Saccharomyces cerevisiae S288C: one gene and its partners. Changing the gene in region 2 together with the main gene of any one other region gives a genetic interaction. Each region holds a gene or a part of one and is shown on either strand. Other genes may lie near its edges.

Region 1 (4,501 bases), on a different chromosome or scaffold from region 2:
CGTTTTGCAAGGAATGGATATGCTTCTGGAGCTTCTTCTTCCAGTCTATGCGAGATTGAATGAGAGCGGCTGGTTGCTATGGTTTGTCTTCCATGATGTGTACGAAGCTGTGAAAATGAGTACTAAGGAGTCAGTGCACACCAGGGTAATCAATTTCCCTGATATTTTGTCAACTCAACAAATGAGACAGGGTCCATCTCAGATCAGGACACCTCTGGTAATGCTTCTTATGTGAGGTGTCTTGGCCGAAATTTATATATATATATATATGTATCACTAAGCTCCTAATTAGACTGCCATGCGGCAGTCAACGTTACCTTTTTTGAAATGTAGAAAAATTTAGTTATTTTTTAGGATGTTCATAAATATATCTATATATGCCATTTTTAACATTATAAATTACGAACATACGTGAATGAGGTGATATGACTGGTAAAGAAGAAAAAAGGATAATAACAAACCAAACAAGATAACCTGTGCATTCTATTTTATAATTGGTAGCAGTTCTAAAGCAAAAAACTGAAAAAGTGCTTTAGTATGATGAGGCTTTCCTATCATGGAAATGTTGATCCATTAAGACGAACTATAAACGGCGTCAACTTTATCTTTGACAGCATTCAAAATGTCTTTTCTTTTCAATTTCTGAGCGGACGTAACAAAACCGTTTTGTGGAGTCCATTCGCCGTCAAAGAACACTATGCCTGCTAGTAATTCAATGCCAACCAAACCTTGGTCTTTACCTGTCTTCAAAAGATCAGAATAAACAGCTTTAATCAATTTTGCATCCTCCAAATAATTTTCGATATTAATTGAACTGTCTTTTTGTTCCATAATTCCCAACTTTTTAGCAAGCTTCGTTAATGGAGCATGATTTGGTACAATAATACCAACTGGCTTAGTCTTAGATTGGTCGGCATAAACACAAATGTTAGCAACATATTCGTTAGATCTGTAAACGGACTCTAATTTCTCGAGTGCGATATATTCACCGTTCATTGTTTTGACCAAGTTTTTCTTCCTGTCAATTATTTTCAAATGGCCATTTGCTTCCCATTCACCGATGTCACCGGTCTTGAACCAACCATCGCTTGTTAAAGCTTGAGAAGTTTCTTCCTCATTCTTATAATATTCAGGCGTGACATTGGCACCTGTGATCCAAACTTCACCTTGGTTGTTTTTAGCAAAATAACCTAATTCTTCAACATCAACTAGTTTGACGGTAACACAACCTGTTAGGTCACCAGCGACGCCGAGTTCAAAATTAGCAGGATCCAAGATGGTGGTACTAGCGCATGTCTCGGTTAAACCGTAACCAATAAGCATAGGGCAGATTAAATTTGTGATGAATTCCTGAGCATCCCGACTGATTGGAGAACCACCGTTTAACAAATATCTTAATTGGCCACCTGTGGCAGTTCTGATTTTTTTGAAAACCAAGTTTCCTAAGGCGCCGCCACCAGGGATGTGGAGACGTTGCATGTTCAACTTGGTATTATACGCGGTCCAGAAGATTTTCTTGGTGAGGAAGGGCAAATTATCAATTTGGTTTAAGATCCCTTTTCTCACTGTTTCCCAAACAGCGGCGACACCAACCATGATTGTGGGCTTGAATTCTTGCAAATCACCTTGACAATTTCTCACAGAGCTGCTAGTTAAAGTTTTTACGGTGGCATAACCAATGCAGGCCCCCCAATAAAAGGACAATAGTTCGAAAACCAATTCAAAAATATGAGCTAGTGGCAAAAAACAGATAACACGGTCGGTATTGCCCACAAACTTCAAAACATTCAAACTTGCACCACCAACACCTGCGACAACATTTGAATGTTTCAAGACAACACCCTTTGGCTCACCTGTAGAACCAGACGTATACATGATGCAACAAAGATCATCCTTGCCAGGTGGATGAACATCGATTTCGTTACAGGATTCTTTACCTAGCTTCAAGATGTCGTCAAAGCTAAAGGTCTTGATATCAGGTCTAACTTCTTTAATTCTGTTGATGGCATCATGAGCAGATTGATAGATCTTACCACTTTGCCTCCTGTCCTCAGAACTGATGGAATCGAAATGAATTATGTATTTTACGTCTTGAGCGGCTTGCACTGGTTTGATCAAGGATGGTAATAAAGAGTTATCGGTAAAAATGGCCTTAGACCCCGTTTGCACCAAAGAATGAATTAGCCCTTTCTCTCCCAAAGTATCGTAGGCAGTGACGACAGGAATACCTTGAGACTGCGCTCCTAAGAACATCTTCATCCACTTGTGAGAAGTGGCTGCGTAAAGATGTAATTTGTCATCATCATTAGGCTTTAATCCTATTTTCACCAACCCACGACCAATTTCATGCATGATATCGGTCAATTGGTCAAATGAATTATAATGATAATGCGATAGTTCATAATACATCCATTTCTTTTCCACTGAAGTCTCCTTGCCATCAACTTTTTTCATAACCGATTTGGATTCTTCATGAATTTCCTTAACATCCCTCCAACCCATAGCATTTGAATTTTTGTTCTTCTGAAAGCACTCTAGAACAAACTCATAAACAGTGGAACACTTTGTGTTAGGCGGTCTGACGAGCGGCTTCTCGCGGCATTGATAATTTCTTCTTGGAGCAGTTTCATGCTCATTGGCGGCTTTCCCAACTGGAACGGTATATTGAGCAACCATATTGTTGTCTTTTTTTGTCTTTTGTGTTTGTTCTAGTTTTTATTGTATCCTAACGAGTTTTTTAACAACAAGAACTTTCTATACTTACTAAATATACTACAATTGTCTCACGACAAGTGAGGGGTAAAAGGAAAAAAAGAGAGAAAAATAAGCGGTTAAAGCCTTTTACTTAAAGACAGCGAAGGAGATCTCCAAACATTTTTGTTGTAATATCGATAATACGATATCCGCGAAAGGAACCAAAAAAAGCAAAAAAAAAAAAAAAACGCGCGAGAACAGCCTATCTCTGCTGTCCCGTATGCACAGGGAAGTTCTCCTGATATGCGATGGGTGGGTGCCCCTGTGTCATTCGTATTATATGATGTATTCGTGCCTGTATCATGCATAAATATTCACATGGCGGAGATCATGTTCCTGACAGGGCGTGATCGACTTTACTATTGTCCTTGTCATTCCCTTATGGAAGAATATGACAGGGCTGCATCATCCATATTCTAAGTAATTCTCTTTGCCGCGCTAAGCATGGCTTCATCGCTTGTTAGAAGGCGCATTTGTTATAAAGTTCAGCCGGCTCTATCGGTCCGCTAGCTAGGTCTGTTTACTTTCCGCAGCGTAAGCAGCTGGCAAAGTGGATCGGTCTTACATCTACAACGCAGTGACGTTTCTGATACTTTGGTGACGTATTCTTTTCTCACCGCTACGTTTTCTTCGCCCGCTCCGTGCGGACCGAAAAAAGACCCTCTCCCCTTATAAATTTTGTCAGTATTATAGCAATTGCCTGCGGACTTTCACCGCGCTTAGATCAAGAGGGCATCATGAGGCTACCTACAATTGACATACTAAGTCAAGAAAAATAATAGTGTATCGAATACGCGTGGTAGCTACATTAAATACTAAAGTATGGTTTTTTTTTTTAAGTAGGTTTACTCTTCATATTCTTCATTTTCATTTTTCCTTTTCTTCCCGTTCTTCATTTTTATTCCTAGAAAAAAAAATAAATATGTCTATCGTTAACCTAAACATAAACAAAGTTTAGCCCGCTTATTTAAATGATGCCCAGTACTTTTTTTCAAAACTCATATAATTATATATATCAAGAATGCTTTCCAACCACCGCTTGTATTAAGGTGTAGAAAGGTGGTTTTTGTATTCAAAAAGAGTACAAGCCCATTATAGCTAACTTAACAGTCCACCCTACTATATCCCACGCATATCTGGTTTTAACTTGTGGCGGGCGATATGGAACGAATTTTTCAAAGTTAACCATAGAAAAAAGCATGTGATCAAGGCAGAGTGAACGAGGGAAAAAGAAAGTGTGGAGAAGGCCACCTTTTGAAAAGTTTACCAATCGATCGGTCTCTCAGCACTTTCTACATTTAATCTCTTTATAGTGAACATCGCTGGCTCATGCTGGTTCCCATGCATAACTCACCCACGGCCGCCAACGGCCGCTTATCACTTACTGTCGCCAGCTCCGGTCTTAGAAAGGGTAAAAAAAACCGGGTGTATACTATACACTCATACATCCGCTCACCCGTTTCCAGTAGTGAATTTTCATTTTCTGTACGAAGGCAATATAAGCTGACGATCCGCATAAAGCAGAAGACTCATTTGTAATGCAGAATATCCGTACAATAAAGGAATTTATTGGTCTTATATATTCTACGTGGGAGCTCGAAAAGCATTTCTGGTTCTATTTAGTAACCAATTATTTTCACTTTGCTCAGAATAGTTCTGCATAGCTATAGAAAGAAAGTTAACACAAAGTACGGAAAGATTGAGTAAATATGAAACTCGGAAGCAAACAGGTAAAAATTATATCCTT
Region 2 (2,830 bases):
AAATTTTTATATTTTTAATTAAATTTTTATAATATTATAAATTATTATAATATTGATATTTAAAATTAAAAACAAATTATTAATGGTTTTGTTTTCCGAAATGTTTTTTATAATTATTACTTCAGAATAGTTATTTTCACGAATACGAGATACAGGGTAATGAAAACAGGTGTTATCCAAAAAAAAAAATTGATATATTTTAGATACTTTACATACAGAGGCAAGCTTCAGCTGTAGCCAGGTACATAATATTCCCTATAAAGTGATCAATATTTTTTAACGAAAAATTAAAAAAAAAAATCCTTGAATAAAGGAATGAAAATATTGTAACAAGCGATGACATTTCTTTTTTTGATTGTAGTTGTGGCATTTTATATTTGCTTTTGCATTTACCCTATTCTTGAAGGTTTGGATAGACAAGCGAGATAACACCAGTTGTCCTTCAACTTATTCAAAGCAGCAGCTCACTTAATTATTATTAAGTATACACATGAAAGCCTTGTGTTTATTTCGAATCTTTTTCTTGGGTAGAACTTTTAACGTTGTCAGACGGCATGACAACAGGTTTTTGGGAAGTAGATCTAATATTTTTTGTAGAGTCTTTGGCACTGTTGAAGTGTTTTTTTTGGAAGGTTCTATTCTTGTTATTGTAAGGACTCCTATAATAATTGTTCTTATTATATCCGAAATTTTGATTTGGAGACTGATTTGGAGGGTACGGTGGGTAATAAGGGAAGGTATCGGGATTGGGGTAGGCCATTAAGGGATAATTCCATTGCCATTGTTGGAAATACTGGTTTTGCGAGTTGTAATGCCTATTAAATCCTGGAATGTTAGTTCTTTTTCTGGAGACAGCAATTTTTTTGCCTTTAAGTTCTCCTCCATTTAATTGCAGGGCTTTTTCTCTGTATGCCGGACTTTCAAATTCAATATAGCCGTAGCCTTTTGGTGTTCCCGTATTCCTATCATAAAGAAGTGTTATTCTTTTTATCTGGCCACAGTCTTTGAAATGATCTTCTATTTGCTCTGGGGTGACATCCGGAGTGATGTTACCGACAAAGATAGAACGCGAGTCAGCTTCAAGTTGATGAGCGTGTTTTTCCTCCTTGCTTAGCTTTTGCGACACCTGTGGAGTGCCCTCGATAGATAGTTTACCCACAAGTTCATCCAGCTCGAGCTCTTGCTTGTCGTTCTTTTTATTGTTCGAAATTTCAGTCTTTAAGGTTGCCTTAGCATCCACTTTCTCTTCCTGGGACATAACAGCAATTGCAAATGATGACACTATGTGACAGCAGATATATGTTTATGTTAATAGGCCTGGTTGGAGAGCGAAAGTTGAGATTACTTACTTAATCAAAATTAAATTTGAAATTTGCTGCATTTTAAGGTTACTTTTCGGAGTGTAGGAAATTGTTGCGGTTTTTTTTCACCTAACGAATGATTGATAATCTTTTTCATATCCTCCAAGAAACAAGCTGTTTATTATGGTGATTGCCACAAATTGAAGCGCTATGCTTAGTGCTTCATGACAGAAAGGTTTTGCATTGGTAGGCGTGGAAGATTACAGATTGTACTCGTCGTTGGCTCAATTTTTATATTTTGTTGCTTCAAAAACAGTGCCGTATCCTTAATGAATGAAAAATTCTAAAGAAAATAAGTTGATACTAAAAATATAATGTCCTTGAAGTATTTATGCGATATATAGAAAAATCTATAAATACTTAAATATTACAGCAGCGTTATTTTTGTATAGACGCCGACGTATAAGAGTCTCCTATCAAAAATCAGAATCTGAGCCCAGTATGTCATCTAATTCTGCGTTCGATAAGGTAAAAGATTGGGATGAATCATGGTTGACACTGTTGTTATCGACTTGACTTTTATCGTTAACTTTTACAAATTTTTTTTCGTCTCGTAACATGCCTCTCGCCAAACATTTAGTATAGTTCATATCAATTGTCCTCTTCTTATTATCATTACTCTCGTCGTTAAATAACGTAATGATTTTTGAAACTTTGTGACAATGCGGAACTTTTACCCCTTTGGTGTATTGTACAAAATTGGGCTCCACATCGAAGGAAACACCTTCTGGGATATAGCGGTTTCTGAAAAAATTCCAATCGTCCAAACTCAATACCATGTTATTCTTGTCAACAGTACAGCTCTTTTCTTTTTCAAGGTTGTGTTGATTTCCTCGGATGTCTTTCACATTTTTCTCGATTTTAGTTGGAAGACCACAATCATTCACAAATAAAGCCATATTAGGGCGTTCAAAATTATGAAGTGGCTTGAGTGTGGTAAGACTTTCGCCAGTGCGAATAATGGCAGTTTCCAAATCTTTTTGGCATCCATTCTGCCCTTCCGCAATGAAAACATTATTATCATCACTGACTTCTTCATCTTCAGTTTCTAATGAGGAGGAAGCTTCCTCGGTTGAATCATTCTCCAGATTATCCAAAGCTTTAAAAATCTTCCGCTTCTTACTTGGGTTTTCATTACTCGTTACTAGTTGTTTCCCGCCACTTTCATTCACCAAGAACTTATTAATTAAAGTGCTTGCACTAACAATACTGGTCTCAACATTATCAGGCATAAAGAACTTCTTCGGTTTTTTATTTTCCTGAACTCTCTTCTTCTTTGTTATGGCTTTTTTTGGCTTCACCTTTTTGCCCATCATACACTGAGTCGCATAACGAATAACTTCGTCAACATCTTCCATTTCATTAATTATTTCGTTTTCATCATTAATCGTGATCAATGTCTCGTGACATTCCGGAATAATGTCTTCAGGGATTATCCGATCTGATTTTTTATAGTCAATGCATTGCTT
Region 3 (3,625 bases), on a different chromosome or scaffold from region 2:
TTACTTCTTCACTTTGTACTTCTCACGAAAGTCTTCGTCAATAAACCTCTGATAAAGTGAAAATTCTATGAGATTCCAATAAAACCTCCAAATATCTTTATATACAGCTTACTACTTAGATAAGATGACGTTCGCCAATGGTAGGCAAAAGATAGCAGGGTGTTCTTGCCTTTCAGTCTTCGCCATGCTCTCATTCAAGAAAGGGTGCCAAAATACCGAAAAGAGACACGATCGGGGGTGTCAAAGTAGCGATTCCTGTGGGTTAAAAGAGGGTGAACCACGGCAAACATGCATGTGTAAAACCCAAAACGCCGATCTAGGGCCTGCGACGCATGGTACGAACATCCTGAAGGTATATAAAAGAGCTAAAGTCTTGACTCATGCCTGAAATCTTGATTTTTCATTGTTATATCCTCTCTATACATTAGTAAGCACCATAGATGGGCTGGCTATCAAAAGCGAGAAAAAAAAAATGCTGAATTCCAAATATGTACTCATCGGGGTGAATTTCAATGATGTGTTATGTAGATACAATATATATGTATAAGTCACTAAATGCATACATACGAGAGTCTACCTTAAGTTTGTCCAAGTGAAAAAAACTGGGCATAGCAAAAAGACGGTTGTAGGTATACCTGCGTATATGAGAAACCTTCCGACGATTTCCACTTTGGAAACACCGCTGTACAATAAACACTCTTCTTCTTCACTTGTCTCGTTATGGAAATGAACCTTTTCGCTTCTATCATCGTGAAATCTGAGTAGTTTAATTAACAGCGTGTAGACAGCTGTCTTGCTAATGACGTCTTTCCAAACAATCACAGAAGCGACACCTACCAGAGGCCTCAAGAACACCTTAGAACCACATGATGCGTACCTACTACATACAAGGTTCCATCCGTATCTTTCGGTTAACCAGTCGCTGCAATCCAGCCCACTGACTACGCCAATGAACGCTACGCTATCTTCGAAACAAGGACATTCATCAATGGGCCTGACGTGGTTAAACAGAATAAACAAGCCCCATGCTACACTCAAAAGGGGAAACCAGAGATGTTCACCAATCTGGAAATTTCGTAAAGCATGCACCACCCAGATTCTTATAAAAAAACAGATAGCTCCAACTGCGGCGCCGCTAAATAAATCCAGCATACCATGCATACCGCAGTAAACTCTACCAAAAACCAGGGTTAAGTAGTAAAATATCACCAGACTCAGTAAAAGAAGCTTTGTTGGCCATACCAGTGTGTCAGATAAACATATTCTCCAAAAGAATAATAGACTTACCGCAGTAGCGTTAGCAGAATGTGAACTGGGTGCACCATATTCTTTCGTAGTGTATTCACTTAGTGTGATTCTGTCAACTGGCGGTGATTTTGGCCTTGGTAGGCACCAATAATCCTTTAAGTAGCCACTCAAATAAATTGAATAACCAAGAACGTAGATCATGTCCCGTGTTAAATCGCGGTATCCAAGCCACACAGGCATGGGAAGCACGATAACATAAAACATGTGGGAACCCATAAGCGAAGTGTATTTGAAATAAACGTCTCTAAAAGGCGTTCTGTGCTTTTTTTGTAAAGAATGTACGAAATCTGATTGGTTGTCTGTGAATCTAGTTAGATACTGCCTTGTTTGAAACCTTAGCCACGACATCTGGCTCTCAAAATGCTCCGCTGGATGATTACCGGGATCTGCCAATAGGTGTTTGCCGCCGGAAGGAGCCATCTGAACCTTAATGGTGTCCTCGGTAACACCCAATTCAGTAACCGTCTGAATAATGGTCATAATTAAATTCTTTTACAGGCTTGCTATTTTGTATATTTTTTTGAAGACTACCACTGCCTAACTTCTTTTTGTCATGTTATCAATTCAACTAGATGTTGAGAAGGAAGCCAAGGCAAGGCTGATAAAAACTAAGAAAATAAGGAAAAATCATTATGTTATATAACATGAATTCTAGACGTACGTGCTCGTAGTTAGGAAGTATCTAAATAAGAGTCCCCACGTTACTTTAATTAGAAGCACGCCATCTTCCTACAACCGATTTTTTTGGATTGTAGATATCAGAGTCTCATCAAACAAGAGGAACCCAGAATAGGCACGTCCACTGAGAAAACCGCGGACAAGCAAGACACGCGTACCTGAAAAGGCTACATTTCTTGAAGAAGTTGTTCAGTTGAGCTAGCCACCTCTTTAGCCTGAAGACGTTCGTAATTCAAAATAGATTCCCTTGGCAATTGAAGCCATGAACTGAGTGAATCTGCAGGCTCAATCGTATTAGACAGTATGGCAGTAAGCCTTGCCCGTTCCTCTTCTTCACTTTGTTGAAGAAGAGGCTGTGGGATTCGTACCCCAGGAACGATCTGCAAATTGTCCGAGCCGCAGAATACGTGCGCACAAAGTTTAGCGACCACTTCAAGGTCTTTCTCTTCATCGATCTTTCCTCCGTATACGATCGTAGCTATGTGATCTCGCACTTGTGCCCAAGGAATGTTGTTGGTAGAATTGGTGGCTAATACATTCTCTAAATACACTGAGGCAAATTGAAAGTCGCAATCATTAAAGTAATACTTCTTGGAAAACCCATGAGGAACCAATCGGGTCCTGGCAGTGATCAAGGCATGAAACCATGACAATAGGAAGGTACAATACACGCTCCATACTCCTGAAATTTTACCAGTGAAAAATTGAGAACCCCATAGATCTTTGACGGTATCTAGTATACCTGGGATATCCTCATACACAAATCTATCAGTTCTTTGTAGCAATGGGGCAGGTAGTTTATCACCAGTCAAATGGCATGTCATGAACATTTTGAATTTCTCATGTTCTTCTGCCGCCTTTGTCTCCTCAACATGCTTGTGCAGATACGTTTTCACCCATGATAGCGACATTTGTATGTTTTGTAATAATATCCAACCACCTTCTATCTTAGATTTTGATATTTCCTCTTGAGCATAGTTTAGATTTTCTATAGACCCTAGCGGGATGATTTTTAACGATTCCTTCGAGGCTTTCGCCAATTCGATTAATTTGAATGTGCCATCAACATCTCGCTCGCTTGCCATTGTAAAATAGTTGTTCTCGGAATTGGCTACCACATCCGCGATATTCCACTCATCAACAAAAAACTCATTTTTGAACCAGTTCAACGCAGATATATACGATTTGGTTGTAACATAGTCCCATAAGTACCGCAAATCATTATTTGTATCTACGGTTAGTTTTGGTACGCCATCGCTACTTTCAGAGAGAACTCCAATCATAGTTAGAACTGCCTCTTTATATTGTTCACTTTCAATGTCGAATTTATACAAACAAAACATCGTCATAGCCATAATCATTTTAAATTTTTTGTCAAGAGCGGTGGAGAATTGACAATATACTTCTTGATATAATAGCCAAAGAATTTCATCTACCCGTGTCCTAGCTGCTCTTGTTTCCCTAGATTTCTTAATGAAGACACGTTTGAAACATGATAGAAATTGTCCTATAGAAATGCCGTAAAACCAATGAAACTGACCAAACTTCTCCAACATAGAGAATATTTTGACACTATGCTTACCGATAATAGAATACTCTTCTACCAGATTATCAAACTGTGGGAAAAACTCTTCAGATT

Evidence for each region.
Region 1: mutations in SGN1 (region 2) and FAA1 together harm fitness more than expected from each alone (negative genetic interaction), as found in Saccharomyces cerevisiae (2 studies listed by BioGRID).
Region 3: mutations in SGN1 (region 2) and YSR3 together harm fitness more than expected from each alone (negative genetic interaction), as found in Saccharomyces cerevisiae (2 studies listed by BioGRID).

Annotation. Positions count from the first base shown.
Region 1 is NC_001147.6:907,518-912,018, reverse strand, and holds FAA1 (long-chain fatty acid-CoA ligase FAA1), read right to left. Parts: upstream 2,677-4,501; coding exon 574-2,676; downstream 1-573. Other genes in the region: YOR316C-A (uncharacterized protein), read left to right, coding at 4,084-4,293; metal cation transporter COT1, read left to right, coding at 4,464-4,501. UniProt on the Saccharomyces cerevisiae protein: Activates long-chain fatty acids (LCFA) by esterification of the fatty acids into metabolically active CoA-thioesters for subsequent degradation or incorporation into phospholipids.
Region 2 is NC_001141.2:355,638-358,467, forward strand, and holds SGN1 (Sgn1p), read right to left. Parts: upstream 1,259-2,830; coding exon 506-1,258; downstream 1-505. Other genes in the region: MPH1 (3'-5' DNA helicase), read right to left, coding at 1,778-2,830.
Region 3 is NC_001143.9:533,494-537,118, forward strand, and holds YSR3 (sphinganine kinase YSR3), read right to left. Parts: upstream 1,789-3,625; coding exon 574-1,788; downstream 1-573. Other genes in the region: DYN1 (dynein heavy chain), read right to left, coding at 2,154-3,625. UniProt on the Saccharomyces cerevisiae protein: Dihydrosphingosine 1-phosphate phosphatase required for efficient ceramide synthesis from exogenous sphingoid bases. Involved in endocytosis and calcium-mediated signaling.